Regions from separate parts of the Mus musculus genome. Here all the other regions are reported to be linked to region 2. The links are microRNA targets in miRTarBase. Many come from high-throughput screens and were not tested one by one. Region 2 holds a microRNA gene; each other region holds the end of a gene's coding sequence.

Region 1 (7,122 bases), not on the chromosome of region 2:
GCTGAGAAGCACTTGAAAAAATGTTCAGCATCCTTAATCATCATGGAAATGCAAATCAAAACAACCTTGAGATTCTACCTCACACCAGTCAGAATGGCTAAGATCAAAAATTCAGGTGACAGCAGATGCTGGCGAGGATGTGGAGAAAGAGGAACACTCCTCCATTGTTGGTGGGATTGCAAGCTTGTACAACCACTCTGGAAATTAGTCTGGCAGTTCCTCAGAAAATTGGACATGGTACTACCAGAGGATCCAGCAATACCTCTCCTGGGCATATATCCAGAAGATGTTCCAACCGGTAAGGACACATGCTCCACTATGTTCATAGCAGCCTTATTTATAATAGCCAGAAGCTGGAAAGAACCCAGATGCCCCTCAACAGAGGAATGCATACAGAAAATGTGGTACATTTACACAATGGAGTACTACTCAGCTATTAAAAAGAATGAATTTATGAAATTCCTAGCCAAATGGATGGACCTGGAGGGCATCATCCTGAGTGAGGTAACCCAATCACAAAAGAACTCACACAATATGTACTCACTGATAAGTGGATATTAGCCCAGAATCTTAGAATACCCAAGATATAAGTTACAATTTGCTAAACACATGAAACTGAAGAAGAACGAAGACCAAAGTGTGGACACTTTGCCCCTTCTTAGAATTGGGAACAAAACACCCATGGAAGGAGTTACAGAGACAAAGTTTGGAGCTGAGACGAAAGGATGGACCATCTACAGACTGCCATATCCAGGGATCCATCCCATAATCAGCTTCTAAATGCTGACACCATTTCATAAACTAGCAAGATTTTGCTGAAAGGACCCTGATATAGCTGTCTTTTGTGAGACTATGCTGGGGCCTAGCAAACACAGAAGTGTATGCTCACAATCAGCTATTGGATGGATCACAGGGCCCCCAATGGAGGAGCTAGAGAAAGTAACCAAGGAGCTGAAGGGATCTGCAACCCTATAGGTGGAACAACAATATCAACTAACCAGTACCCCCGAGCTCGTGTCTCTAGCTGCATATGTAGCAGAAGATGGCCTAGTCGACCATCATTGGAAAGAGAGGCCCATTGGTGGTGCAAAATTTATCTGACTCAGTACATGGGAACGCCAGGGCCAAGAAGTGGGAGTGGGTGGGGGAGTTTTGGGATAGCATTGGAAATGTAAATGAAATAAATACCTAACTAAAAAAAATGAAAAACAAAAAATGTCTCAATAAGTTTGGACCGTAGGCAAGCCTGTAGGGAAATTTTCCTAATTTGGTATTGATGGGGGAAAGCTTGGCTCATTGTGGATGTGCCATCCCAAGGCTGGTGGTCCTGGGTCCTATTAGGAAGGAGGCTGAGCTTGCCTGGATGAACAAGCCAGTAAGCAGCACTCAGGCTTCTGCCTCCAGGTTCCCTCCCAGTTTGTGTTTCTGTCCTGGCTTCCTTCAGTGATGAAAAGTGCTATGGAAGTGTAAGCCTAAGAAATCCTTTCTTTCCCAGTTCTTTTATTTATTTATTTATTTATTTATTTTTTTATCACAGCCATAGTAGTCCTAAAGCACTTGCATTTAGCCGATGAATTGTACTATTAATTTATAGTAGACCACTAAATCATTTTATCATAAGAAATACAAGGGTAATATGTGAAGAAATTAATAAAAATCTTATGTTCTTATAAAACATTGTTAAGGCTAAATTACCCAAGTTCGTCATGAGATTAAAGAATCTACAAGGCTGTTCTGTTTTGCCATCATATGTATGTTGTGATCACTAGTCTTAGCTATATCATTTAATATGAATTTCCTTATTTACTCTTAATAGTATAGGTTTGAATTTTGATACATCACTGGTAAAAAGTTATTGGTGCTCATGCTTGTAGGTACAGTATGTTTAATAGTGAAATATTTTGAATGTATTGCATAGATTACAAAGCTTTAAGCACTGTAAGCAAAATGTTGACACTAGAAAGTATCCATGAAAGGTTTTGGTTTCTATAGGTAAATATCTTGCCAGAATAATATTACTATGTAATTGGATATACTGAGTCTCTACTGTCAGAATTTACACTGTAGCTAAGAATAAAAAATGGAACTATTGTAGGAAAATTTAATCCTGACCCAGTGTTTCAACCCTGACTTGATCATTCAGTTTCCAGATAAAAGACACATACAACCTTTATATTTACAATGAACCTTAATCAGTACTAGAGGTAGGCAGATATCTACCCTCTATGCTATTAGAATCTTCTTTCCTATTGACAACCCTGAATCATTACTTGCTGACTGCACTTCATCTGGACTGTTCTTAACTCCATTTGGCCAGCTCTCAAGGCTATGTTTTTATGGCTCACCTAATCCATGGCAGCTTCTCCTTTCTCCTCCACCTTCTTTTTCCCCTTGTCCTTCTCCTCTGACTCAAGCCCAAGCATCCCAAACCTCACCTATGTCCAGGTATTGGCTGTTGGTATCTTTACAAATTAGAAATGATTTGTGGGCAGGGTCACATAGGGTCACTTGGGTCTACATGAAGACTCCAGATCTTGGAGGCCTGTACTCAGCATTACCATCGACAAGAAGATTAAGCCTCGACATGGAATCTTTAGAGGGAGTTATCACAGGTGCGGATGTGGTTCTAGAAGGCAGATACTGAAAGTTTTCAAGTTCTTGTGCCTCTGTACCATGACGGAAACACATAGACAATTACAGGAATTCGGGATGGGTTAAGAGGGTCATACAGACAAGACTGGAGCTATGCCATAACTTCCCCATGGCCTGCTTCAGGTAGCGAAGGAAGAGAGGGGCCTGTGTGAAGACTGCACTGGCCTTGTGTGGGTCATTAACATAGACTTGCCTCTTTCAGATTCCTCAACTAGGGCTTCTCAGAGTATTCTTTGGCTGAATAAAGCAGATAGTGCTCTTGGCAAAAGAAACCAGCATCGCCAAGGGAGAGACAGAAAATAATGGAGTTTGTAATAATGTTGGCAGTAGGCAAAGCAAACTCATATAGGACAAGGAAATAGGACTTCTAAAGGCAGGTGGAAGAGTGTAGAGTCCATACTGGAAACAGCATTTGTGATGCATAACAAAGGTGTGAGGAGAACAAGTTAAATATTGCCCTGGTACAGAATTCATAACTGCCTAGAAAGAACAGTGAGGGAGACATCTAACGCCCTCTCATTATCATGGAATTGACATAAGGAAATGGGACTTCTAAAGTCAGAATTGGAGAACTGGCTTCCCCAAGATCTCAGGGTCCATTCTCACTGAAGCTATGATGTCCAGGTAAACTACAAAAGTAGACTTTAATAGTTAATGGCTTCTTCCAACTGTTGAGGTAAGTATCTCTCATCCAAACTACAGACATCACTGACATGCCTTGCAGGTACAAAGTTCTGCTACACCCAAGTAACGCAGATGCTTCCAAGTTCTTCTTTTATTCAGCTAATGAATAGAGTCTAACCTCTTTAGATGGCATCTTAATACACTAAAACTGCAAGAGCTTTTTGTCATGGCATTCTGGACAAACAGCATTTCCCACAGTCACAGCATAGCTCCTTAAGTAGCTCCATGACAGCCCACCAGTGAGCACAGCAGCAGGGTGAGCACACATAGGACAATGGATGGGTAGTGCAGGTTCTTCTGGTATAAGACAGCAGGTGACGATACACAGAATGATGCCCACACAGGATTTTAAATTCACATTACTGATGATTTTTTTAACTTCTTTATTGGAAAGCATGGCATTTTTAGACCTACTAATTATTTTTTTCCATACAAGATTGAAACTCAAACAATATAAATATTTAACATTTTGGTATAAAATTAGTAGCTGAAAAAAGATGCAAACCAATAATGAGGTAAGTTTTTGTTTTTAGCAGTTTTACTGTGTGCAGCCATTTTTTAAAACTCAAGTGACCATCTGGGACAATAATTTATTTCCTTTTTCATTTTATTTTTCATTTTGAAACTTGCATTTCCTTTCAAAATGAACAAGTTTCAAAATGAATATTTCCTTTAACTTCAAACCAGTTCCATTCTATTCTAAGCAAAAACTAAAAGATGAACAAGGTTCAAGAGAGCTCAATCAAACAAACAAAGAACTGCTTCATAAAGTACCAGTGTCAATGGACCATCTTGTATACAAGAGAGAGATACCATTTTCCAGCCAGTGACAACTTTTACCAGTTCCAAGTAGAAACGTGGACACATATTATCCTATGTGTACCTAAAGCCAGCAGCTAGCAAAGGGCCAATTGGTGAGAATTAACTATGAAGCTGCTTTTATTCTCTAGTACACTTTTATTCTCTAGTGTTTAAAAAATTGATCAGAAAATCTGAACTGTTAGTCATCTAAAACCTTGAATCTACCCTAAGATAACTACCTTAGAATGTTTAACACTAGTCTTGAAATTAGTAGGAAACTACCCGAGTAGGATAAACAAGCTTCATATCTCATAATAAAAAACTTCACAAAGATTTCTGTAAACATTTTTTTAAAAAAAATCTACCTGTGAAAACACAGATATCATTTAGTTGTGTATTTTTAGATTTTTTTGCATTGTTTCCAAAACCACCCTAATAATAGTAGCTAAACTTTCCCTATTATATGCATCTGTCTGAGGGTTGTTAAGCATCCATCTTCATTTGCTGAAATCGTGTTTTGACCTGCATTACAGGTCCTTAATCGATGAATACCCCTTAGTCCTTTCTGTGCTGGTGCACTGTTTGCATACCAGCCACATGTTTTAATCCTATTTTGTAAAATAAATGTAATTTAATTTATTAGATCTGCCAAGCCTCTGATTACAAAGAACATGCAGATTTACCAACATTTCTAATCTCATTTGGTCAGTTTCTCTAGCACTCTTATTTTGCTCCCATGTTTGAAATATTTAAAAGATAACCTCTGATAGCTATTGAGTCAAATAATGGATTATTTTAGACGTGGTACTATATTAAAAACTTTCAAGCTAAAAGTCTTCACTTGGAACAAAATCTGTGTCCTACAAGACCTTATTGGAAGCGGCATTTGAGTATTGAGTGCCATGGTCTGGACTCCAAGCTGATGTTACAATTACAAGGAAAAGAGACTTTTATTGCTTCTTTGTCTTCCCTTTTGGATGCTGAGCTATACCCCTAGTTCTATCTTTCCTTTAAGTCTCTTCTGTTATTATACTCCTCATTGTAAGCTGCATCCAAACAACTACCTTAAACAGAGGCCAATATCTAGTGTTTTAAAAGCCATTGAATAATTCATTAAATTAAAACAAGCTTATTGGAGTTGATAGTGATTTATCTTTAAAGAAGGTCCTCCAGGGGCCAGGAACTATTCTTGTTTTATAACTTTAGAGAAAGCGTACATATAGTTTTTATTAGGGTAGAGCTGACCACTTTCTAAAGTTTTTACACTAAAAATTAAATTTGAGAAAATGAAACAAATATATCTTAAATGATTCCAGAACTGCCTAGGTAACTGGCTGTAGGAATGCCAATGTTAAACGACTTAACTATAAGAAATTATATACATTTTCCACATATGTCCTCATTCGGATGAACCTTTCATCACGTTCCTTCTGCATCACCTGCCTCCCTCCACCTCTACCTAGAACTCTTTAATAAGATAATTGGGATTGCTTGTTCTAAGAGGTATTAATTTTTTAGAAATGCTATATTATATATTTCTCAGGTATCTTCCCCAAACTATTATTTTGATATCAAGGCTTCTCAGGTGTTCTCCATACCTTAAATACATGTGTAGAACCAAATGAGAACTTGAAATTCTTACTTTACCCTTGCTCATGATCTAAGTCGTTTAGAATATGAATTCCTTGAAATGAAATTAAGCTGCAGTTTAATTTGGAGTTACACTGACCAGTTTGACTGGGTTTTGAAATGAATCTCTTTGCTTTCAATTCATTTGACTTAGGGTAGAGAGAAACATTTACAGATTATTATTTTCCATTCAAGTTTGGCTCAGTGACACTTAACACAGTACAGCATTCATGTACTACTAAGCAAATGCAGCCCAACAAGGGTATGAATTCCTGTAAGTCAGTCTGCAGAGAAGAACTATCTTAATTAACCTGCAGTATATTTGACCAAAAAACCCTTTTGAAATGTTCTTTACTTTAGGATGTGTAGCCTCTATCCAGAGGTCCTGCAGATCTTGTAAGTGTCCGTGAGATGTCATCATCTTTTCATAGATGCAGGGGTGATAAGGAATTTTCCCTTCCCCAGAGAAAAATACATGGTCCTGTGGCAAGATTCCCACTTTATTGGCACAGAGGCCCATGAATACATCATCTATGTACATACTGGAATTCAGTGTCTGCGATGCCTCATAGATTTTGGCAGCTACATCTCTGGAGACAACATAGGCAGCACCAGCTGTATAGTCAGGGTAGGCTGGCCACTTGTACATTTCATAGGGAACATAGTATTTGCTGCTTTTATCCCTAACAGGAGGGCCACCTCGATGAACGTGACCAATCCAAAAGTCTCGAACTCCAATCTGCTCTAGCCCTTGAAGATATTCAATGAGATTTGGCATGTGGATAAATATATCATCATCAGCAGTCATCAGGAATTTGGCATGTGGACAAAAGGTATTTGCCCAGCTGAACTGAAGAAGGAATTTAGAAGTAAGATTGTGGAAAGAATCAATGAAATCTTGCTGAATTATATCCTTGTACACTTGATCTTCCCCGATTAGTCTTTTTTGCAGTTCTTTTCCCTTCAGTGGACCAGGAGTTCCTAATGCAAACAGAATTTTGATGTTGGCATTGAGTTGAGACTGAACATAGTTCTCATTGCCCCACGTTTTTCTGATTGCAGAACGTCGGCCATAGTTTTCAGGGGCAGTCTTTATAAACAGTAAGAGGAGGACATCTTGAGCCTGACACTTCTCTCTGTGGTTGATCAAGTATGGGTAGTGAGGCTGCACAGAGCTGTGCTTGAGAGACAGGGAATTGTTTACAAAGCCATAGCTATTTACGAGGTATCTGTAGGAGTAGGACTTCATATGGCTCATGATGTAATTATTGATTGGGCTCCAAAAAACCATGAAGCTTAATATAAAACAAGTGACAAAAAAGTGAAAAATTTTCCATCTTTTGACTCTTCTGCTAA
Region 2 (7,122 bases):
GCCATGGCACTTGTGTGGAAGTTGTGGAAGTCTGTCCTCTCTTGCATCATGTAGGTCTCCGGGGATGGAACTCCAGGCATCAGCCTTTGAAAGAAGCAGTTTTACTCACGGAGCCATCTCTCCAGCCCCCTGCCTGTGGGACTTTGTACATGTCTTCTCTGGAAGGATGCTGGTTTGATCTCATCTACATGGGCCTGCTGCTGTGCAGCCTGAACATTTTCGAGGCCAGTGCCCGAAGTGGATGGGACAGTGATGTGCGCGTCTTGGTGCTGGCTGTGTTTGAATGTCAGGGCTGGCTTTGAACAGAACGTGTTGCCTTGACTTTTAACCGGTCTTTCTCCTCAAGGAAGAGGGAAAACAAAAAACAACAAACCAATCTGCAACCTTTTCCAGGGTTTTCCACAAGTCTTTGGCACATTTAGTTTCTTAAAGTGTAATATAGCCGAGTTTGCAGCAAGGTGCACACTGCATGCACCACTGAGGCTCCTGGCCAGGCAAGTGCGGATGTGGAGACCCCTGCTGCCAGGACACTGCCATACTATTTAATATTGTCAGTCAGCTGGTTTATGGTTTTCAAGTTAAAGGAGTTGGGGATTTAAATTAGCCAGCAGCAGTCTTCAAACAGTTCTGGCTTATGGGCAACTTCCCATGCCTCCAGTTATGTAACACATAGGCAGTTTAATGGCTTCAGGTCATATGTTAATTTTTTAGCTTGCAGTTGGCAGGAGCACAGTGTACCTTCAGTCAGATCATTTGTATTCTGTGTCACTCAGGAGCAAGGTATATGGCACAGCACTGTCCCTGAAGGACTTGGATTTTAAGAAATTTTTCGGAGAAGTAATTACGAAGAAATTGGTTCTTTTTTTGTTGTTTTGTTTTTAAACTTTGGGTTTTTTTGTTTTGTTTTGTTTTGTCTTGTCTTGTTTTTTGTTTGTCTGTTTGCTTGTTTTTAAGACAGGGTCTCCCTATATTTAAGGTTGGCCTAGAATTCACCCTCTAGCTCAGGCTGACTTGGAACTCAACGCAGCCATAATGCTTCCACAGTGCTGGGATTGAATAGGCACGGCCCACTATGTCTGGCTGTTTTGTCTTTTGTTGGTGTTGGTGTTAGTTTGGTTTGGTTTTTCAAGACAGGGTTTCTCTGTAGCCGTGGCTGTCCTGGAACTCACTCTGTAGGCCAGGCTGGCCTCAAACTCAGAAATCTGCCTGCCTCTGCCTCTGGAACGCTGGAATTCAAGTGTGTTTCCATAGATGGAGAAGATTCTGTGGTCAGGAGAAACTAAGCATTAGTATTTTTATACTTTTTGGTTACTCAGATCTCCAAACTTTTTTCTTTTGTAACAATCAAACTAGCTTTGTTCACATGACCTGCGTATGATTTGGGTGAAAACGTGCAACCATTTCCAGGAATCAAGAGTTGTGGGCACCAGCTCGTTCTTTCTTTCAATCTTCACTGCCACCTTGTGCCTCAAATATGTATTACATCAGTTTGCTAAGCCCTACTTGCCAATGACGCCTTAACTTTTAGCTATCTTTGCACTTTGGAGAGGTTGTTTTTAATTTCTGTGAGGTAGATTATTTCATTTGGTTATCACTTTTCTAAAGATGAAGGTCAGTTTTGTAGTACATAGAGTTACTTGCTGAGCTACATTCATTGTGCTATTCTGGTTTTTGACTCCTGATCTAAAGAATTGATTCGCCTATCTGACTTATTTGAGGCAGAGTTAATGTCTGATCTGCATATAGTGAGTCTTTGAAATTGAGCAAATGACTAATTGAAAACACCATTATTTTTCAAATACTTGTCAAGCTCTGCTCATGCTGAAATTGTTTGAGATGTGACTGACATGGGAAAATGGAATGAATCATGGTTTTAAAACGTTGGTATTCTTATGTTGACATTCTGATCTTACAGACCTTTTTAAACACCTCCCAGGGTAGCCTAGAAGGCACAGAGATCCACCTGCCTCAGCTTCCCTAGTGGGACTAAAGGCATGCGCCACCATGCCCAGCCCTTTTTTGTACCTTTTATTAAAAACAGGACTCCTCTCTGAAGTAACTTTAGGGTATGTCTCAAAGGTACAGCTACTAATAATGAAAGTGATGTTGTGTTGCCTTTTTTAAAAGACACATTCCAGCATGGCAGTGGTGGTGCATGCCTTTAGTCCTAGCATTTAGAAGGCAGGGGCAGATAGATCTGTGAGTTTGAGGCCAGCCTGATCTATAGCAAGTTCCAGGACAGCCAGGCCACAGAGAGAAACCCTGTATCCATTATTATTATTATTTTAATTATTGCATTAATAATTTATTATCTATTATACCTACTATAATAGATAATGTGTGGTAATGGTTATATTGTATATTAATAACTACACCCTATGTTAGTGATTTTATTAATAAATATGTTAGTAATATATTGATTATTATTATGTAAAAGTCATCCCAAAGATTTCTAGCCTCACACGATTTTACCTGTAGAACTGGCATAAACCACAGTGAGAGCATGGCGTGGGTGAGCACCGCCCAGCGGGTCAGCAACGTGACTGTTCAGAGTCTAGAGCAGCAAGACTGATTTGGGGGGAATTACTTCTGAAAGTACAAACCATTAGTTTCTGTTTCATGGTCTGGGTTACTAGGAAACCAGATCTCCGTACAAAACACTCAGTAATGTTTGTGAGTGTTATCAACTGAATATCCTGGACAGTGATGAGATGAGCAGGGGAGAGAAGGAAGATCCAATGTCTACAGAAACTAATTTGGACCTGAGTTGCTTAGTTATAAGATCTTGGGCAAATCACAGAATGTCCCAGGGTTTCTGTGGGTTTTTTTTACACTTTTTTAAAAAAGATTTTTGTTTTTTAGTTTTTTGAGACAGGATGTTTATGTATTCCTGGCTGTCCTGTAGCTTGCTATGTAGACTAGGCTGGACCCAAGCTCACAGACTTCTTCCTGCCTCTGCCTCTTGAGTGCTGGGATTAAAGGTGTGCACCACCTCACTGGCTTTATTTTTATTTTATGGATTTGAGTGTTTTGTCTGCGTGTATGTCTGTGTGCTGTGCGTGTGTGCATGTGTGTGTGTGTGTGTGTGTGTGTGTGTGTGTGCAGTGCCCCCAGGGTGCAGAAAGACAGCATCAGATCCTCTGGATCTAGAATTAGAGATGGTTGTAAGCCACTGTTTGGATTCTGGAAATGGGACCCAGGTTCTCTATAAGAGCAGTCTACACTCTTAACTGCTAAGTGACCTCAGCAGCTGTGTGTTGTGTGTACATGTGTGTATGCACATGCACATGTACTTTTGAAGTTATTCTGTGACAATTTCATGCACGTTTATGGTTCTTGATCGGATCCCTCTCCGACTTCCTGCCCTGAGTTTCGTTTTGTTTCTTCAATCTGTAAAGTGCTATCATGTTGCTGAACCTAGTTCCATAATTCCTTTTTGGATGGGTTTGAGAACAATTCATTGTTAACTCCGTAGGATTTTATAAAAATTAAATGAAGAAACAAACAGAAAAGTATTGACTCTCAGGCAGCTGTGAAGCACCCTCTGGTGTCTGGTTATGGAACCGTGTCTCACAGAACTCACAGAGATCAGCCTGCCTTTGCCTTCTGAGTGCTGGGATAAAGGCTGGCGCCAACAAGCCTGGCTCTAAGAAAGGGCTTGAAACTTAACCTTCCTGGAATAAACACTTGGTGCATAGGTGTGAGATTGGGGGGATGCGGTCTGTGAACATAGAGACATACTGAGAAATGTAAGATGTGCATATAACCAGAAAGAAAGTTCACTTGTGCTTACTCCATTTGTGTGTGTGTGTGTGTGTGTGTGTGTGTGAGAGAGAGAGAGAGAGAGAGAGAGAGAGAGAGAGATGTGTTCACCTTTCCTTTACTGTAGTTCAATTGGTCTTTACTGCTTCACCCTCATCAAATGACCTCTTTTCTTCTGCTTTTTGCCTCCATCCAGAAGTGCATCTTTCAGTCCTTCACTCCGAGGGGCACCTTCGAAGGGGGTGACGTCACTGACGGACACGGTGACTGACAGGCTGCCCTGGCTCAGTTATCACAGTGCTGATGCTGTCCATTCTAAAGGTACAGTACTGTGATAACTGAAGGATGGCAGCCATCTTGCCTTCCTCCCGAGAAGTCTCATCACAGCAGGCGAAAGGCATGGGAAGCAGGACACCGGGACAGGACCAGACACACTTCACACCGCTCCTGTGTTCACCACTCTTCCAGGCTCCATTTGGTAACAAGGAGCAAAACAATGTAGCAGCTTGCACAGGGTATGAAGACGGTTATGCTGAGGACAAACAGGGTCTGTGGAACCTTTCATGTCTGGGAAGATTGACACTAAGAAAGTCCTAAGGACAAATCAACATATCTCAAACGGAGAGAAACGATCCATTTTATAAACAAAAAAAGTAACTTAATTGACAGCTTTGCATTTGGTCCTTCACTGTTGGGTGGTCAGAGTTAAACAGGGAATGGCATTATGTGTCAGACAGTATCAATGCATATGAATAAAATTATATCTGATTAAGGAATGGATAGTGACATGGCTTTTTCAAAAAAAAAATGTTATGGAATGTCACCTCTACATGAAAATATTATTTTATTCTATTAAGTAAATAAGACCACTCTACATGACAGCACAGATCAGCTTCAGAGATCTGAAGTTAGAGATACCAGCCAGTATCATGGTTGCATGAAGATCTAGAACCTTAATAGAGGATGTGTCTTCAGCCCACATCACCTTAAAAAGTACCATGAGTGGGGTCTGTGAAGACAGCTCTGTCACGCGTGTGCTTGTGTAAGTACAAGGACCTGAGTTCAGGCCCAGCCTCAGTGTGAAAATCTGGCCATGGTAATGTGTGAGTGTAATCCTTCAGTGCTGAAAATCAGAGACAGGTAGATCCCCGGCGCTTCCTCGCCAGCCAGCCTCACCGAATCTCCAAGCATACTGAGAAAACAAGGTGGACGGCTCCTGAGGAGTAACACTTGAGGTTAACCTCTGGCTCCTCCATGCATGCACACAACGGCATGTGCATGACATATAATTGGAGTAGAGAGTGAGGCTCTTAGAGAACCCAGGATTTATCACATTTCTCTCTGTCACTCATCCCTCCTAAGGACTTTGAATACACAAGCCAGTGAGTACCACAGTTGGTGACACTTTTGGGTCACAGTCTAGTGTGGGGCCCAGGCAATTGCATGGAATATGTGTTTTAGGCTCCAAACTTAAACAAGGTCCTATCACCTCTTCCTAGACTAACATGTATGTCTGGGATCCTTTCTACGTGGTAAAGGAACTGAAGCCATGACTTACATGTAAAGAGTCATGCCCATTTGAACTTAACCAATGGCAAGGACCCAGATGGGCCAGGAGAGCAAAGCCATATATGACTTTTAGCATATGTTGACATGTCCACTTAGTGTCTTAGTTTTCAGTACTCACTTCTCTACCAGGACAGAGGAGGAAAACCAGGCGCCGGGAGCCACCCCGTCTCTTTACCAGTTACTCTCTCTCTCTCTCTCACTTCTTTCCTTTCTCCACCTGCCAGGGACTCTGGTGGAGTCAGCTTGACAAAGCGAAAGCTGGAAAGCTAGTTCATGAAGCAAAGAGTTTCAAGGAAACTCCCTTCCCAGGGGCCTGGCATTTTCTCCCTAATCTATATAAACCATAAAATTAATTTTTCCATTCTCACATTAGTCTAGTGTATAGATCCACGTGCACTCTATATAGTATTACCTTATAGTAAATGCCTTTTAAGATTGTATTCTAACATAGCTAAAGCCTTTTTCCAGTGTTCTTAGATTTCAGATAGCAGCAAGGAGCTTAACCTATTCAGTAACTAATTAGTCCCATCATAAAACAATATAAACATCTGTCATTTACTCAGCTGTCTGTAGATAGAGACTAAAAGTCTCACTGAGATAGAAATCTTTTACTACAGGCTACATTCTATGTCAAGTATAAGTTGATATACTACCCTGATAAGGGGAAACTCTCCAGACAAGATAGTTTTACTAGACCTAAGAATTTAGAGCTCTGTGATAATGCATTACTCTTAAGGCCTATCAAGAGTTAACAACCCCCTGATGCTTTTAACCTTAAAGTGTGAAATTCTTGCCTGGCATTAGGCTGATCCTAGGCAGGGCTTGTTATCCCTAATGTAAACATTTAATTAGTCCCTGTAAATTTCTTTCTGCTGTAACTGGTGAATTTCAGTGTATCTTGTCTTTTTGTGATTTGTATCCTCTGATAATTCGTTGTAATATAAGTCTAAAGCTCAACCAGAACAATACATTCAGATTCAACACATCTTTCGTGTATCTGTCTGTCATTTTCATCCATATTCTTTGCCCATCTGCCTAAGAAATCCTGTTCTTCACAGACCAGGGACCCAGAGAGTCTGTGGCATCCACCCAAAAAGGAGCCAAGCTGGTAGGCCACACCTGCTTGGCCACACTGACCATGTTTACAGCATGGTACTTAAAGTGTCTTCACACAGTTTCTCATAAACCATGAGCCAGGCTCCCCTTGGTGGGTTATAGAGAGGGAGGGCCGCTCTTAAAATTCCTTGGAAAGGAACTTTTGACAGAAACCCTGAAAGAACTCAAGAGAAAGTTCTGGGATTGGTGAGTCTTCAAGTAATTGGAAACACTCCTAAATTTTAGTGTTTTAGCAGGTGGAAAAAAAGTGCTTGAAGAAGGAACAAGTTTGTAATCCTTGGCTTTCGGGTGGATTTCACCACCTTCCTGACCTTCCTGTTTTCCCTCCTACTGGTTTTACAAAAATTCATCAGGTTTGTTACTTGCCTAAGCTTGACCTTACAAGCCACGTTCATGCACGTGGCATGTTGCAGTTGTCTTATTCCTTTTGCTGTTGCAGTGATAAGATGCCCTGACAAAAGCAAATTCAGGGAGAGAGGATTTCTCAAGGCATCAGGAGCTTGAAGCAGCTGGCCACGTTCTGTTCATAGTAGGAAGGAGAGGGCAATGAGTTTATGCACACTGCTGTTTAGCCTGCTTCCTCCCTGTTACACTGTCATGGATTCCTGCCTAGGGAATGGTGCCTACCATGGTGGGCAGCTCTTCAACCTTAATTAATGTAATGAAAATCCCCCC
Region 3 (7,122 bases), not on the chromosome of region 2:
ATTTTAAAATGTAAAAAAGAAGACTGGGGGTCTAGCTCAGTGATAGAGCACCTGCCTAGTATGCACAAAGCCCTGGGCTAATCTCCAGAGAGAGAAACAGCAAGACTCAGAGAGTATTTGGTCACCCAGTAAAATAAAAAATGATGTTAGCATCTAAAGAATATTAAAAAAAAATAACAAGAATTTCCCAGAGTATTAAACAGCATTAAGTTACAGATCTCAGAGCACAACACATAAGTGATATGCATAGAAAGAAACCTGCAGAGACACATTCTATCAAAATTTCTTACAAAGATAAAATCTTAAATCAAAGAGTAAAAAGTAAGAAGCGTACTTCCCAACTGTGACAAAGAAAGCCTGAAGACAGTGGGCTATATCTTCAATGTAATTAAAGAAAGGAAGGAAGGAAGGAAAGAGAGAAAGGGAGAAAGGGAGAAAGGGAGAAAGAAAAGAAAAGAAAGAGGGAGAAAGAAAGAAAGAAAGAAAGAAAGAAAGAAAGAAAGAAAGAAAGAAAGAAAGAAAGAAAGAGAGAGAGAAAGAAAGAGAAAAAAGAAAGAAAGAGGAAGGGAGAAAGAAAGAAAGAAAGAAAGAAAGAAAGAAAGAAAGAAAGAAAGAGAGAGAGAGAGGGAGGGAGGGAGGGAGGGAGGGAGGGAGGAAGGAAGGAAGAAAGAAAGGAAGGAAGGAAGAAAGCAAGCAAGCAAAAATTATAATTCTTTGTTCAATGAAACATCCTTGTGTAGTGGGCTGGTGCTGCTATGTATTCCAATGCTAAATACTGTATCCCAAGACCTGGTTGTTCCAAGACAAGAAGGTCCTCATATCTACCAGCTTTTGTTGTGTAAACCTTGCTCTCCAAGTTATCCATGATTGGCTAATAAAGATGGCTATAGCCTAGAGCTGGGCAGAAGAGAGGTAGTCAGAGCTTTGGTTTGAGGCAGGGACCACGAGGAAGCAGAGAAGAGAGGAGGAAGAAGGAAGAAGTCACCATGGGGTAGGTGGATCATGACTGCATGGCCATGAGGGCCAGTCTGTGGGAACAGGAGCAGCCCAGGTGGAACATGGCGAGTGATACCCTGCAGTGACTGACAGGGAAGTAGACAAAATATCATAGAGGTTCACGTCTGCCCAGATCTAGTGCTTTAGGCTTATTATAATTACAGAGGTTTTGTGTCCTTTACTTGAGAACTAAATGATCCAAATAATATTTATCACAACATTTTGGTGCCCAACATGGGGCAAAAGTAACCAAAGGTTAAAAAAAAAAAGTAACAAAGGTAAAGAAAAACATTTGCAGGCACAGTAACTGGGAGATCCTCAGATCAGCACTAAAAGCAGAGACCAGCTTCCAGCTGAGTGTTCACAATCTGGCTGAAGAGCCCAGGAGACACCTGGGGTTACTTCAGCAACACAGGCAAGGTACGAGGGTGGCCGTACTACACAGGCTGTTTTAAAAATGATAGGACTGGTTTATTTGGAAAATTTATATGTTTTGAAGATAGCCCTGTCTCAATTTGCTGTTGACTTAAATATATTGTGAGCCGCTATTGTCACAGGCGGAATGTCCCACAGACAGAGCCTGGCTTAGGGGCAAATCCCAGGCACGCATTTGGAAGTGCTGGGTTTGGGTGCCCATAAGACCCATGACTATTTCTAGGGTGCTATTGGGTACTTTCATTTCCATCTAGACAAACACCTAGAGTGGAGAATAAAGTTGGAGACTGTCGGTGTATGTTCCTGTACTCTTTTCTACCCTTTTCTTATATTTTTGGTTGTGAACCTAGCCTTTAATGGCTGAGCCATCTCTCCAGCCCTCTATCTTTTCCTTATGAGCCGTTAAAAACAGGAATGGCCAAAGGAGCTAATGGGTAACACTCGGAGTGTCAGTGTCTGTCTGCTTCTCTTGATTTTAGCACCTGCCTGAAGCAAACCCTTGATGACTCTCTTACAGAAATGTCGGGACTGAGATCTTGAGGTGAGACACGTTCCATGGACAATCAGATACCAGCTGGTAGATGAAGCCCAGAATTCCTTCTCGTTTTTTAATTCTATGAAAGCTTAACAAACCATCAGTACTTATAGTACATACTTACTGAAGGGATGGATGAGTGACTGATGCCAGTTGTGGTGGTGATTCATAATTCCATCTTTATGGTGTGGTCCAGGGCAAGGCAAAGACAGGCCTGGGACTTGGGAGTAGGTGGTACCTTCCTTCCATAGACGCTTTGGGGAAGCCCATTCTTGGGAGGGTCAAGTCCATTACACTAGCACTTTTCTAAGGTTCCCCCCCCCCATGTGCCATCTTAAGAAACATCTGACTTCTAGCCTGTGGCTTCTGCAGCCAACCTGAACGAAGCCTAGGACTGCAGGCTCCCTGGCCTTGAGGATGGAGGGGCCTTAGGCCCAGGAGAGGAAGCTGGATGACACTTCAGGTGCCTCTTACAGATGAGGAAACTGTCTCTCAGAGGGCCCAGGCCAGTGGGGCAGGGCGGAGTGATCTCAGAGCAAGGCCACTTCTTCTGGCGAGGCTTAGTGACAGGCATTATGTGAATGCAGGCTGGCGTCATGACATAGGCAGGACAGCTTACCCGTTTCCCTCTGCCAGGGCACTCTGCTCAGGGAGGGGCATCCATGCTGTGACAGAATGGGGACCAGCTGACTCACAAGTCTCAATAATGTGCTTTTCATTAAGTTAAATCATGAATCAAAATCGCCTTTAGAGCAAGGGGTGATTGTCCCACATTAAAGATGGGGAAACTGAGGCTTCAAGAGTACTATCAAAATCCGGGACTCACAGGTTCGACCCACTCAAATGTTCTATTCCCTGTCCACAAATGGTCCATTCAAGGCTCCGGTTTTGCTGTCCTTTGGGCTAAGCTTCTTTCCCAGTGCGCCATTCGGGCCTCAATGTGGCTGGTGACCCCTGAGCAACCTGTGTCTGACCAGCCACACTGGAATGTCCTTTTTTACCAACCTGCCTTCATGGCTCCATCCATATCCCATGGTCTCCTTACACACACATCCCAGTTTGAGGTCACTTACCAGCAAGTGCTTGGTCTTTCACCAATTAGAGGGCAATGGAGTCATAGATACGCAATGGAGGTAATGGATGAGTGGGACGGCTCTTAGATTTAAAAGCTCATTAGGAGATGGGTTTTTTGTTTGTTTGTTTGTTTTTTGTTTTGTTTTGTTTTTAGGTACTTTCCTCAACAGAAGTTCTCTGTAAGACAACACTTCAAGGCCAATACTGTGAGGACCCTTTGTTCTTCGGAGAACAAAACCCAGAGCTAATCAGACACTAGAGCAGAACGAGGCTGGATTCAACTGGGTTGTTCTTGAACAAACTTGCCCAGCACAGCATCAGAAAAAAAAGTCCCCAGAGGTGGGCAGCCCTCCTACCTGCTACCCAGAATGCAACCTTTGGAGACAAACAGCCCCAGGTGACCGGGATACACCCCACTAGGGGGTGTGGGAAAGCCCGCTCCAGCAAGGCAGGGTCAGCAGGCTGGCATTGTTTGCCTCTGTATACAGCAACAGAAACCAAGCAGCCAGCACTTCTCAGAGGCACCCCGCCCCCCTTCATTTTAATCTCCCAAACTGACTTGTCAGCAGCAGGAAGTGACATGACAGCTTTCCTCACAAAAGGGAAACTCCTCAGTGTTACCATGGGAACGGAGGCCAAGGCGGGATCACAGATTTATATAATCTTAAAGGTGTAGGCACCATGATGTCATTCTGGTTAAGTTGAGACCACGGACGGGGTGGGGGTGGGGTGGACGGGAGGGAGGGTGGGGTGGGGGACGCATGCCAGAGGATGTAAGTACAAAGCAGGAGAGCTTCAAGTTGCAGAGTTCGCCGGAAAGGAAGGAGAGGATGCTGAGGAGGTGGTGGGGGCTGAAGCCTCATCGGATGGATGCCGGGGGAAACCACAGGAAAGCACAGGACGGGCATCTATGCCTTTCCGCAGCCTGAAATTAAAGAGCCAGGATGAAACCGACCCTTCAGATCAGGGCAAACCGGTCATTTCACTGGGTGGGAAAACTAGATGTCACTGTTGACAAGGGGATCCATTTGTTGCTCCATCGTCCTCAGTGAGCACAGGAAGCAGCTTTTGTTGTCTTTGTTACACAGAGCAGAAAACTGAGGCCAAATTCTGGACTAGTGGGGAACACAGCTAGTTAGAAAACTTTACATTTAGCAACCCCGCTCGAGCTCTTTTGGCTGGTCTTCACTGAGACTCCAGTCTCTGTGAGACCACCTAATAATTAGGACACTGACTCAGCGGCCTTGTCTCTTTCTCTGGGAAAGATTGTGAACACAGGCAAAACACTTAGGGGACCCCAGAACTCAGTGGCAGCTCTTAAACTGACAGCTGTCACTGTCACATGAGCCTTAAACATTACGTTGTGTCTGCATCAGTTCTCTCTGGGAAACAAACATTCAAATGGAATCTTTTCATCCTGATTTTCATACTGATTTTGCCTCAAGCATTGCCATTTTCTGCAGCATCTCAGCAAAGGTGACCCGTGAGAGGGATCGCTCCCGGTCTGGGCTGTGAGGAGACATGAGTGAACTGTTTTCCCTGGCAGCTCCCTGAGGCAGCCTCTGTATTTTTCCATTGACTGGCTCACACACTGGAGATTAATTTGGGTTCAGCCAGTGGCTGCCAAGTTGAAAGCAGAGGCCCAGGCCCACGGGAAAGGCAGTCCCTGCATCTGCCACGGGATTGCCATTGCTGGTACATTTCCACGAAGGGATCAACTCACAACAGCAAATATCTAGAGCTTGAAGAGCTTGATAAAAAAAAAAAAAAAAACAGTTTGTTTTAAAAAGCATGCAGCCACTCACCCCAAACCCTGCCAAGGATTTGAGCTTGCCAGCACAGGACAAGTTCTTCTGTCTTAGAACACAAGGCTCTTCAGACCCGGATGTCACGTGGCAGGGGGGAGATGTCAAGGACAGATTCTGGGTCAAGACTTGAACAATGGGGCTGGGTGAGGACCATGGCACCAGTCAAGATGAATGGGATGTTTCCTCTTCCACTTCACACAGCACTTAGTCCACAAATGAGCTGCAGAAGAGCAGGCACCCAGGGGCCCGAACCCGAGGGCTTTGCTGTTACTTCATTCGACATTACAGATCAGATTATCGCTCGGTAGTCAATTATACCTTCTCAGCCTTGGTCTGCTTGGCAAGAGGGAAAATTCGGAGTCCTGCCCTGCAGCAAGTGTGACTTAATTGCCTATGTCTAAAACACAGTTATGAAGAACAGCAAGTGACCTGAAGGAGACAGCTGCCAAAAATGATATTTCTATGTAGAGGTCGTTGTACAAACCCTCCAAAAAGTAAGAGGGAGTGCAAGTTATTTCTTCCCTGTACATGCATATAGAGCTTGGGTTCTTTTATTATTATTATTTGATGCATTATTTTTAAAGATGTAAAAGCCTTGTTCAAGGATACACACACACACACATATGATATAGACAAGCGACAAAGTTTAAAGGCCATAGGATTAGAAAGCAAAGCACAGTTCCCAATTCCCTGCTCAGTTGCTCAGCTCTCAGAGCCTCCCATCTTCCTCTGCTTAACACCTGAGCCTCTCTGAGGGTCGGCTCCTCCCAAGCTTTGTATATCCTGAGAACGCATTAATCCAGGGATTCTGCACATAGTTCAGGAAGGGGAGATCTTGCCCATGACTCCTAAGGAAGAGATTAATAAAAGAAGGTAATTCAGGTAAATGCTTCTGCAGACACTCAGGTTCCCTGGGTGGCATGGCATTGCCTGTGCATGTTAAAGGACCCTCTGCTAAGATCTAGTGCTTCACATAGCTCCTAGTGCTTCACACAGTTCTCCTAGTGCTTCACACAGTTCTCCTAGTGCTTCACACAGTTCTCCTAGTGCTTCACACAGTTCTTCTGCATTCCTCCCTCGGAACCCATGGGTCAACCAAAAGGAGCAGACTCCAGCCCCACCCACGTTGGCAACAGTGGTCCACTGCTTCCCTGTGCCACTTGCTCAAGAGTGGGGTCACCAAAGAAAGCACGGAGAGCTCAATAGAAACGTCATAATTTATTCTGTTGTATAAAAAAAGTCATCCCAGTAACAAAATGTCTTCTCAGAAGAAGAAATATATTACTTCAGATCATAAATAAACAAACATACAACTGTCGATAACTGAAAGCTACAAACCTACACTGGCTTTGTCTGTCAGTGCCGAAAGCAAACCTGCTCTGGGTCTATTTACAAGATAGTACAGTACGCAAACACAAAATTGAGGTATTTGGTTCTTCTATGAGTAGACAATGACATTTGTGAAGGCAGACCACCGACCTACACAAAAATAAATAAAGGTAAAAACTCTCATACGCGCATGTCATCGGGAATGGTTAATACTGGTGGGTGTGTCAAGCATGAAGTTTCTAGAAAAAAAAAAACAGGCAAGCGAAGAAACTGCCTCAAACAGAGTCCTTTCTCTTCTGCCCTGTTTTGTCAGAGGGACTTGATGTACCCACAATATATTGGTCCCGAATGTGCCGAGTTCAGCAAATGTCTTGCGGTCAAGTCATTGTTGTGACTGCTTAGGAACTCAGTGGAACTCAGGAGGAGTTGGGGGGTGAGGGGGGTGTTAAATAAATAAGGACCAGCTCCCATGAGCCTCTCCCAGAGTTATTGCATTGCTCCTCCCACAGGAGGAGTGGCGACCCGGTGGCAAGTGAAACTCCACACCTCCCCTTGCCCTTCAGCAGCTTGGAGAGGTGGTGATGGGGCTTTTAAGGTAGTTCAGGGCACTGTTCGTGGGGTGGACGGGGATGGAAACAGGGAAGTTGAAGACTGTGGTAGTAGAGGTGCCCCGGTCAAGGACAGCCATGGCAGGGCTCCCAGCTTCAGCAGAGCAGTGAGGGGCTAGCACTTGGGACTCAAACTGCAGCAGCTGGCCCATGAAGCTGAAGTTCGGGGAGATGATACTCCGCCTCTGCTTCACAAACTCAAAGGCCTCGTCCAGCTTTACCCGGTTAGTCCTCATGAGGTAAGCAAGGCAGATGGTGGCTGACCGGGAGATGCCGGCCTGGCAATGAACAAACACTCTCCCTCCAGCATCCTTGATGGAGTCTGGAAAATAAAGTT
Region 4 (7,110 bases), not on the chromosome of region 2:
CTTAAACTAGAGTCACTTATAAAGAGAAGGATGGCATGATACACAAACTCTTTCTTCAGAAGGAAAGGGCAAATATATGATTCTTCAGGACACTCTACCTACCACCAGTGGTTTAACTGGTTGGTGTGACTGGGCAGTCTGATGAAGAGGGAAGGCTGCCACCTGTTGGTCGAATGCATTATTTCCCTCAGTTTATACAACAAGACTGATGAAGTCATGTGTTAGTTGAGGACAAAAAGCATAATTCCAGGGCAGGTAGGCAGAAGCTGGACAGGGCAAAGGCTGTCCCAGGGCCTGCAGACGCCATTAAGATGAACAAATGTGCTGTGGTGATGGGGAAAGACGGAAGAGCAGAGCACTGTGCGCTATGAGGAGAGGCAGAGCTAGAGCCGAGAAGAGGGAGAGGCTGAGAGAGAGGGCTGAGGTGGATAGTGGGGTCGGTGGGATGATGTGCAGCACCTCACAGCGTAGACAGATGCTGATCCCCCAGCTCCAAACACACTATCAGGCCACGGGATTGTCCTAGCTCTGGGAAATGGCAGAGGCCCAAGATGGGGAACGGTTCACTCTCTGGATTGGACCTCTATGGAGGCACCACCATGGCTCATGGTCCCATGAAGGCTATGTGTGGTCCTGATGCGGTGGGGTCGAGTCGATGTCCGTGGCCCATATTACCACCAAATACCATGCATATATCTGCAGTCTATGCTCTGGTCTGAAGCCATGTTGGTGGGCTGTGCTGCCAACAGAGGCCATACTGATCTGAGTGGCCTTTGCTGCCACCAGAGGCCACAGTGATATCTGAACCCATGCTGCCTTCAAGGGCTTTGTCTGGGTCCATGATCTTGGTGCAGCAGGTGGCCATGTTCATGGTCTTGGCTGTTTCCAGAAACCACGAGGAAGGCCATGATCTGAGCTCCAGCTGACTGTAAAGATCAAGGAAGCTACTTTGGCAGTGATGATGACTGCAGATGCAGTTGAGAAAGAGGGGCATGGAAGCCCATACTATCACCTAATGGTAGATGATACCACCACCCCAACCCCCCATGTAACAGCCTAAAAAGGAAGCCACCAAAGAGAACTCTTCTTTTTGAAAAAAGATTGATTTATTTTTTTTTTATGAGTACACTGTAGCTGCCTTCAGACACACCAGAAGAGGGAATTAGATTCCATTACAGATGGTTGTGGGCCACCATGCGGTTGCTGGGAATTGAACTCAGGACCTCTGGAAGAGCAGTCCGTACTCCTAACCACCGAGGCATTTCTCCAGCCGAAGAGAACTCTTAAAACCTGTGATAAACTGAGGTGCAGCTCTCTACCTTTGATGCCTTGGTGAGTGTACAGTGGAGAAGAACCCAGCTTTCCTTAGGGGTCTGCCCACTGGATGTCTGATCATGCTCTAGTGAGTATGTAGACAACACAAATGCATTTTTTTTTAAATTGGGGTGTAATCACAAGGGCTGTGGGGAAGACATGGAAGAACGGGGAAGTGAGTATGATCTGGATGGATGATATAAATATCCCAAAGAATCAATATAAACATTTTTGTGAAAAAAAATACATACTATCACCTAATGGTAGATGTAGTCAGACAAGGAGAAAACATCTCTTTGGGCTTCAAATTGCACATTTAACCTCCTTGGGCTTGAAGCTGCATGATTAACTTCCATTGTAGGCTACAGTGGAAAGCCTGCTCATCAGGTGGCTCGTGTAAAGGATGGCAAGCAGCAATCCCCAGCAGAAAGCAAGCCTCTGATTGTGGTGTGCATAGAAGACTTGCTGGCTTACCAAGTGTGTTGCACCAACACCTGTGAGTTATCTTCCTGACTAGCAAGAGATGATCATTCCCATTCCATCAAAGAACCCTGCCCTCAGCTCTGCCTTTTGGTGGGCTGATTACAACAAAAAGACAGGCAGAGGACAGATCTCCCCAAACTGATAAAATTTGTTTTTAAAGATACTCTTAAACCCGGCAGTGTTACATGCCTTTAATCCCAGCACTCGGGAGGCAGAGGTAGGCGGATTTCTGAGTTCGAGGCTAGCCTGGTCTACAGAGTGAGTTCCAGGGCTACACAGAGAAACCCTGTCTCGAAAAAAAACCAAGTGAACAAACAAACACTCTGGAGAGATGGTTAAGTGCACTGATTGCTTTTTCTATTCTTTTTGTTTTTAAAGATTTATTTTTAAGATTTTTAAAATTTAATTTACAAAGGTTCACTATAGCTGTCTTCAGACACAACAGAAGAGGGCATTGGATCCCATCACAGATGGTTGTGAGCCACCATGTGGTTGCTGGGGATTGAACTCAGGACCTTTGGAAGAGCAGTCAGTCCTCTTAACCACTGTGCCATCTCTCCAACCCTACTGGTTGCTTTTTTTTTTTTTTTTTTTTCTCGAGACAGGGTTTCTCTGTGTAGCTCTGGCTGTCCTGGAACTCACTTTGTAGACCAGGCTGGCCTCGAACTCAGAAATCCGCCTGCCTCTGCCTCCCGAGTGCTGGGATTAAAGGCGTGTGCCACCACGCCTGGCTTGGTTGCTTTTTTTAAAAAGGACTCAGGTTCAATTCCCAGCACCCACAAGGCAGCTTTCCACTGTGTATAGCTCCAATTGCAGGGGAACTGATGCTCTTTTGGGGGCTGCCAGCACTGCATTCACTAGTGAAGCAGTTCCTAGCAGCAGGCAATATCCATATACATAGACTGCATTCTCTAAGCCTATGTGCACAGTAGCTGCAATTCTAGCTTAGAAACCTAAGACATGCACATGTCTCTTGTTCTGCCTTGCTACGAGCTGATACGGGAAGTGGTCCCGTCCTCTTGAGTTTGTTGCAGAGCACGTTTGACTCCGCATGCCTGTTCTTTTCACACTTCTTGTGTCTGGTGTCTGTGTGAGGAAGCACTTTAGTTAGGGGTCTTATTGTTCTGAATCTAGACCTGCTGTTATTTTACACCTGGGGAAATGTGGATACCCCTGAAGACAGCTCTTCAGTCTCATATCTCCTATGGTGGGAAATGTAAGCAAAATGGACTGTCTTTTCCATCAGAGGGTTAAATTCGATAAAATTCTATTAAAGAATTGTAAGGAAGCCTCTTGGCAGAAATTCAAGTCCCCTCAGGGTCAGGACCTCATGAAATCACAATACGTTTTCAGGGTTGCCCCCTCTTCTCAACAGTGAGTCAGCCCCACACTTGGGGGCCAACTGACCATGGAGTCAGGCACAAGGTTGCTGAATTTGAAGGACTGAACAGGGACCCTGCTAGCTGCACTTGCCTGCTTAGTTTGAAATAATACACACACACACACACACACACACATATATATATATATATATATATGCCTTGCTGTCATGACATACTTTGGATTGTGTAGTCGTTTTCCTGGGGTCTTGGGCCCATTTCTAACAGCACCCCACCATTGTCCTTAAAAACCTTGCTCACCCAAATTCCTGCCAGAGTTCTAAGATGTCACACCTGGAAAACCCACCCTCATTGTAGTCTCCAGTTTGTTAATGACAGCTTGCAAATACCCCAATGCAACTACTATCTCCCTTCACTGCTTCCTCATTAAGTGTTCAGGGACAGAAGACATGTTGAGGAAAGGGGGAGGGACAAAGGATGTGACATGGGGACAGTCACAGAAGAGGGGAGCACAGATCCAAGGAAAGGTTGGGGCAGTACGGGGTAGAGGTTGCTTGAAAATGCCAACACCTGATATTAAAAACACAAAGGAAAGACTCCAGGTACCATTGTGGTCCTTCAGTAACAGACAGACAAGGATGAAAGTCTTGGTGGACTGTATGTGTGGTGGCTCATTTTAGGTGTCAACTTGACCGCATCTGGAGTCAGCTAAAACCCAAGCAGTTGGGCATACCCATGAAGCCTTCTTGATTGGGAAGAGGCATTTTAACATGGGCCACACCTTCTGATGGCACTCCACATAAAACAGAATTTTACATTCTTTCACTTTGTGTGTTCTACTCAATTCTACTCAATCGTAAGCTCACTCTTGATCGTAACTTACCTTTGATTCCATCCATATTACACTGGAATTAAATACTTTTTCGTTAATTTTAACAGTAGTAGCAACAATGTGATTTATTTTTAGTTATGTTATAAAAACACTTTGGTGTAGATCTCTCAAAAAAGATAACTTCAGAATTAACAAAAATGGTCATTAAGAAATTTCTAGGCTTTGCTTTATATATATATATATAAACCAGTACTTAGAATTTCACAGTGAGAGGTCCTAAATTCTCATACAATATGAGGTTATATAAAAATAGAAGACATGGACACCTTTAAATCTTTAATCCTTTAAGCAGCAAGCATATTACTCTTCCAGGCCAAACACTGCTCAAACAAAAAAGGAAAATAATGACGTGCAAAATATTTACAAAATATGCAAAGCACACAATGAAGACATCTCACTATATACATGTGTCATATTACTAATGAAACTACTATTCTTCTACTGTGTGCTCTAGTGTTTGTAAAGAAAATTGCAACACATCCCTCAGATACAGCACCTAAGCCACAGATACTGAACATCTGGACAGATGCTGGTGCTGAACAACTTGACTGACATCTCCCACAGACTGTACTGCAGGTCTACTGACGAGAGACAAGACGATGAAAGCTGTCACGGTATAATATGCACGTACACAAGACAAGTGCTTTCAAAAATGCTCTAGACAGTTTAAGATACATAACCGTCTTCCATGGCTTTTAAAGTAAAAATAAGTATAAATTCTCTATTATTATTTTTAGATCAGTTACATTTTATACGGGGCATAAACTATTAAGGTGATCTGATGAGAAAAAAAAAAAGGGCCTTTTCTGCAAGCCACTTTCAATCACATCAGAATAGAGGGTCCTTTTGAAGGGAAAGCTGAAAATTAAAATTGACCAATGGGCTGGAGAGCCCATAAAGGGATTATTTTTTTCCAGTACTTAAGGAAACATGACCCCTCTGATGTGGGCAGCCTGCGGCCCTAGCAAGTGTCCCTCTACAGCAAGCCATGCTTCCCATATGAAGTCATTCTATCAAAGCTGTCAGTAACACGCTGTTGAAACTCCGCCATAGTAAAATATTCTTTGTGGGTGCTAATGACTTTGCATTGGAATAAAAAGGCCTTAAGCCTCTGTTTCTTCATAAAAACGATCTCAGTACGTTAGCTAACGGCACAATTATTGCAACAACACAATGAGCTCATCTTGTGATGCCGATGACTTAGCCCTAAATCAAACCACAAGCTCAGGTTGGTTGAAAGGATCATACAAATGTATTCAGATGTTCAACAGAGATTTAGCAAGGAAAAAAAAAAAAAACCAAACCAAACCAAACACTCTTTGTATCAAACACAGATCCTCTTAGTGAGTATGAACTTTAAGTTCAGAAGATAAACTGTAAATAAATGTTTCCATAACCACCATCTCTACATAACTGAAAATTGTTCTAAATTCCCAACATAGGCAGATACTAGCTAAAAGCAAATAGCATTTAGAAACTTCTTTTTTCAAAATTAATATTTTCAAAGAACTTAAAAAACATTATATCTCACCAAATTTTAAGTCCTTTTTCTGCATGTGAGTGATTCCAAACCTCTATTACTGATAGATAACAGGGTCAATGACCTTTAAACAAGGACTTTGCACTAGGACCCCAAACTATGTTAAAGGATTAGCAGGTTCAATACATTCTTTGTGGTTTCATATAATTGCTTTGCAATTGATTTAATTGCTTTCTTTTAAAGGAATATACTAAAATTCCTTTAGAAAAAAAGCAACATATTTTGAAAAAAGGGATATGAAGCTATAATTTCTTAAATATGAACATATCAAAATCTGAAATGCAGGCTATTTATCTTGCACTCCTAACATAGGAAAGTGTCTTTTAAAAAATTTAAATTAAAGAAAAAAGCAGAAAGATAAACATCCTTAAGGAACTTAAGGAGTTTTTTTTTTGTTTTGTTTTTGTTTTGTTTTTGTTTTGTTTTTTTTACAATTCCTAAGTCAATATTTTTGTACTAACAGTTTTGAGTATGAAGAGGCAGGAAAAAAGAAACCTCAACAAAATAAATACAGTAAAAATGAACGAAAACCCCTTGGTAGACAGAATACTTTTCTTCCCATGAGATCACAGTGGGCACTAGAAAGGAGGCCAAACAGAGGCCTCCTGCTGTGTCACACCACTTACACTAGTCCACCGCCACACTTCCCGTGTGTGCGCACCCTCTTAGGCTAGACCCCCGCCACAGGAAGGACTAGTTTGCCTTGTTTGGATCAGTCAGATGAGCACTGGTACAATGATAGGTGAGCCTTTGTCCAGCGTAATTAGTGCAGTGAAGGCTGTGAATCTGTCTGAATCCCAATGAGTGAAGGTGGCTGCTGACCGCCAACCGTGGTCAACACTGGTCTTGGGTTTAGGCGGGGTGGCATGGAGTTAGCAGGGCGAATGAGAGGTGGAGGAGGCTGATTGAGAGTTGGCCGGGGCTGGATGAACCGAGCCTGCTGCTGGAGTGGAGGAGGTTGTCGGTGAAGAGCAGGGGCGGCAGGCAGTGTTGGACGAAGAAGTGGTGGAGGCTGGTTCAGAGTGGCAATGGGGACTGTTGGTGTTGGAGTGGATGATGGGGCAGGAGGTGATGGACCCAGAGTCCGAGGAGCCTGTGGGGTCTGTGCCTAGAGGTGAGGAAACAAAAATAAAAATACCTGTGTGAGATTTAAGTCCTAACAAACTTGGTACAATATAGTTTGGGCTGTCACAGGAAAAACAAAACAAAACAAATAAAACCAAAACCAAAATATAACACCAGTGTTTATTGGAAGCACAGGCTTCTTTTATTTTTAACAAAATAAAAATAAACAACCCTCCTCCCCACCCAAAAACAAGAAACAAAAAACCCAACAAGGCTACCAAACAGACATCTTTATTAGTAAACAGCTTAACAGTAGAAATAATACACTTTCGCTCTGCTAGGACCAGAAGCTGGCATGTCCTTATGACTAAGCAGTCAGAGACGCCTCACGAGGAAGTGTATTGTCAGCCTTATGCTCATTTAGCTAGTCCTCACACACCCTCACAGCACACCACCAGAAGGGCGGGGCGGCTCCT

The links. Region 2 holds the annotated microRNA mmu-miR-101a-3p (UACAGUACUGUGAUAACUGAA, at 4,085-4,105, shown strand). A microRNA usually pairs through its seed, bases 2 to 8, with sites in the 3' UTR of a target mRNA and lowers its output. Matches are read on the target gene's strand: a 7mer-m8 pairs with bases 2 to 8, a 7mer-A1 pairs with bases 2 to 7 and ends in A, and an 8mer does both.
Region 1: miRTarBase lists B3gnt5 as a target of mmu-miR-101a-3p. Seed matches in the 3' UTR shown: 7mer-m8 at 5,983-5,989.
Region 3: miRTarBase lists Dusp1 as a target of mmu-miR-101a-3p. Seed matches in the 3' UTR shown: 8mer at 6,249-6,256.
Region 4: miRTarBase lists Rcor3 as a target of mmu-miR-101a-3p. Seed matches in the 3' UTR shown: 7mer-A1 at 6,079-6,085.

What each region holds. Positions count from the first base shown.
Region 1 is chr16:19,769,046-19,776,167 of GRCm38, reverse strand. It overlaps B3gnt5 (UDP-GlcNAc:betaGal beta-1,3-N-acetylglucosaminyltransferase 5), which reads right to left. Exons shown (of 4, transcript NM_054052.3): 4 at 3,415-7,122. The coding sequence ends at 6,005. Among named protein-coding and RNA genes, the nearest start is that of B3gnt5, 12 kb to the right of the region's middle.
Region 2 is chr4:101,343,940-101,351,061 of GRCm38, reverse strand. Mir101a (microRNA 101a) reads left to right here and starts at 4,035; the gene lies at 4,035-4,117. E130102H24Rik (RIKEN cDNA E130102H24 gene) reads left to right here. Exons shown (of 2, transcript NR_040708.1): 2 at 3,959-4,538.
Region 3 is chr17:26,499,544-26,506,665 of GRCm38, forward strand. Dusp1 (dual specificity phosphatase 1) reads right to left here. Exons shown (of 4, transcript NM_013642.3): 4 at 6,048-7,107. The coding sequence ends at 6,737. It overlaps Gm34455 (a long non-coding RNA gene), which reads right to left and starts at 4,804. Exons shown (of 3, transcript XR_876694.2): 1 at 3,397-4,804.
Region 4 is chr1:192,094,479-192,101,588 of GRCm38, forward strand. It overlaps Rcor3 (REST corepressor 3), which reads right to left. Exons shown (of 12, transcript NM_001346740.1): 12 at 4,068-6,677. The coding sequence ends at 6,333. Among named protein-coding and RNA genes, the nearest start is that of Traf5, 5.4 kb to the left of the region's middle.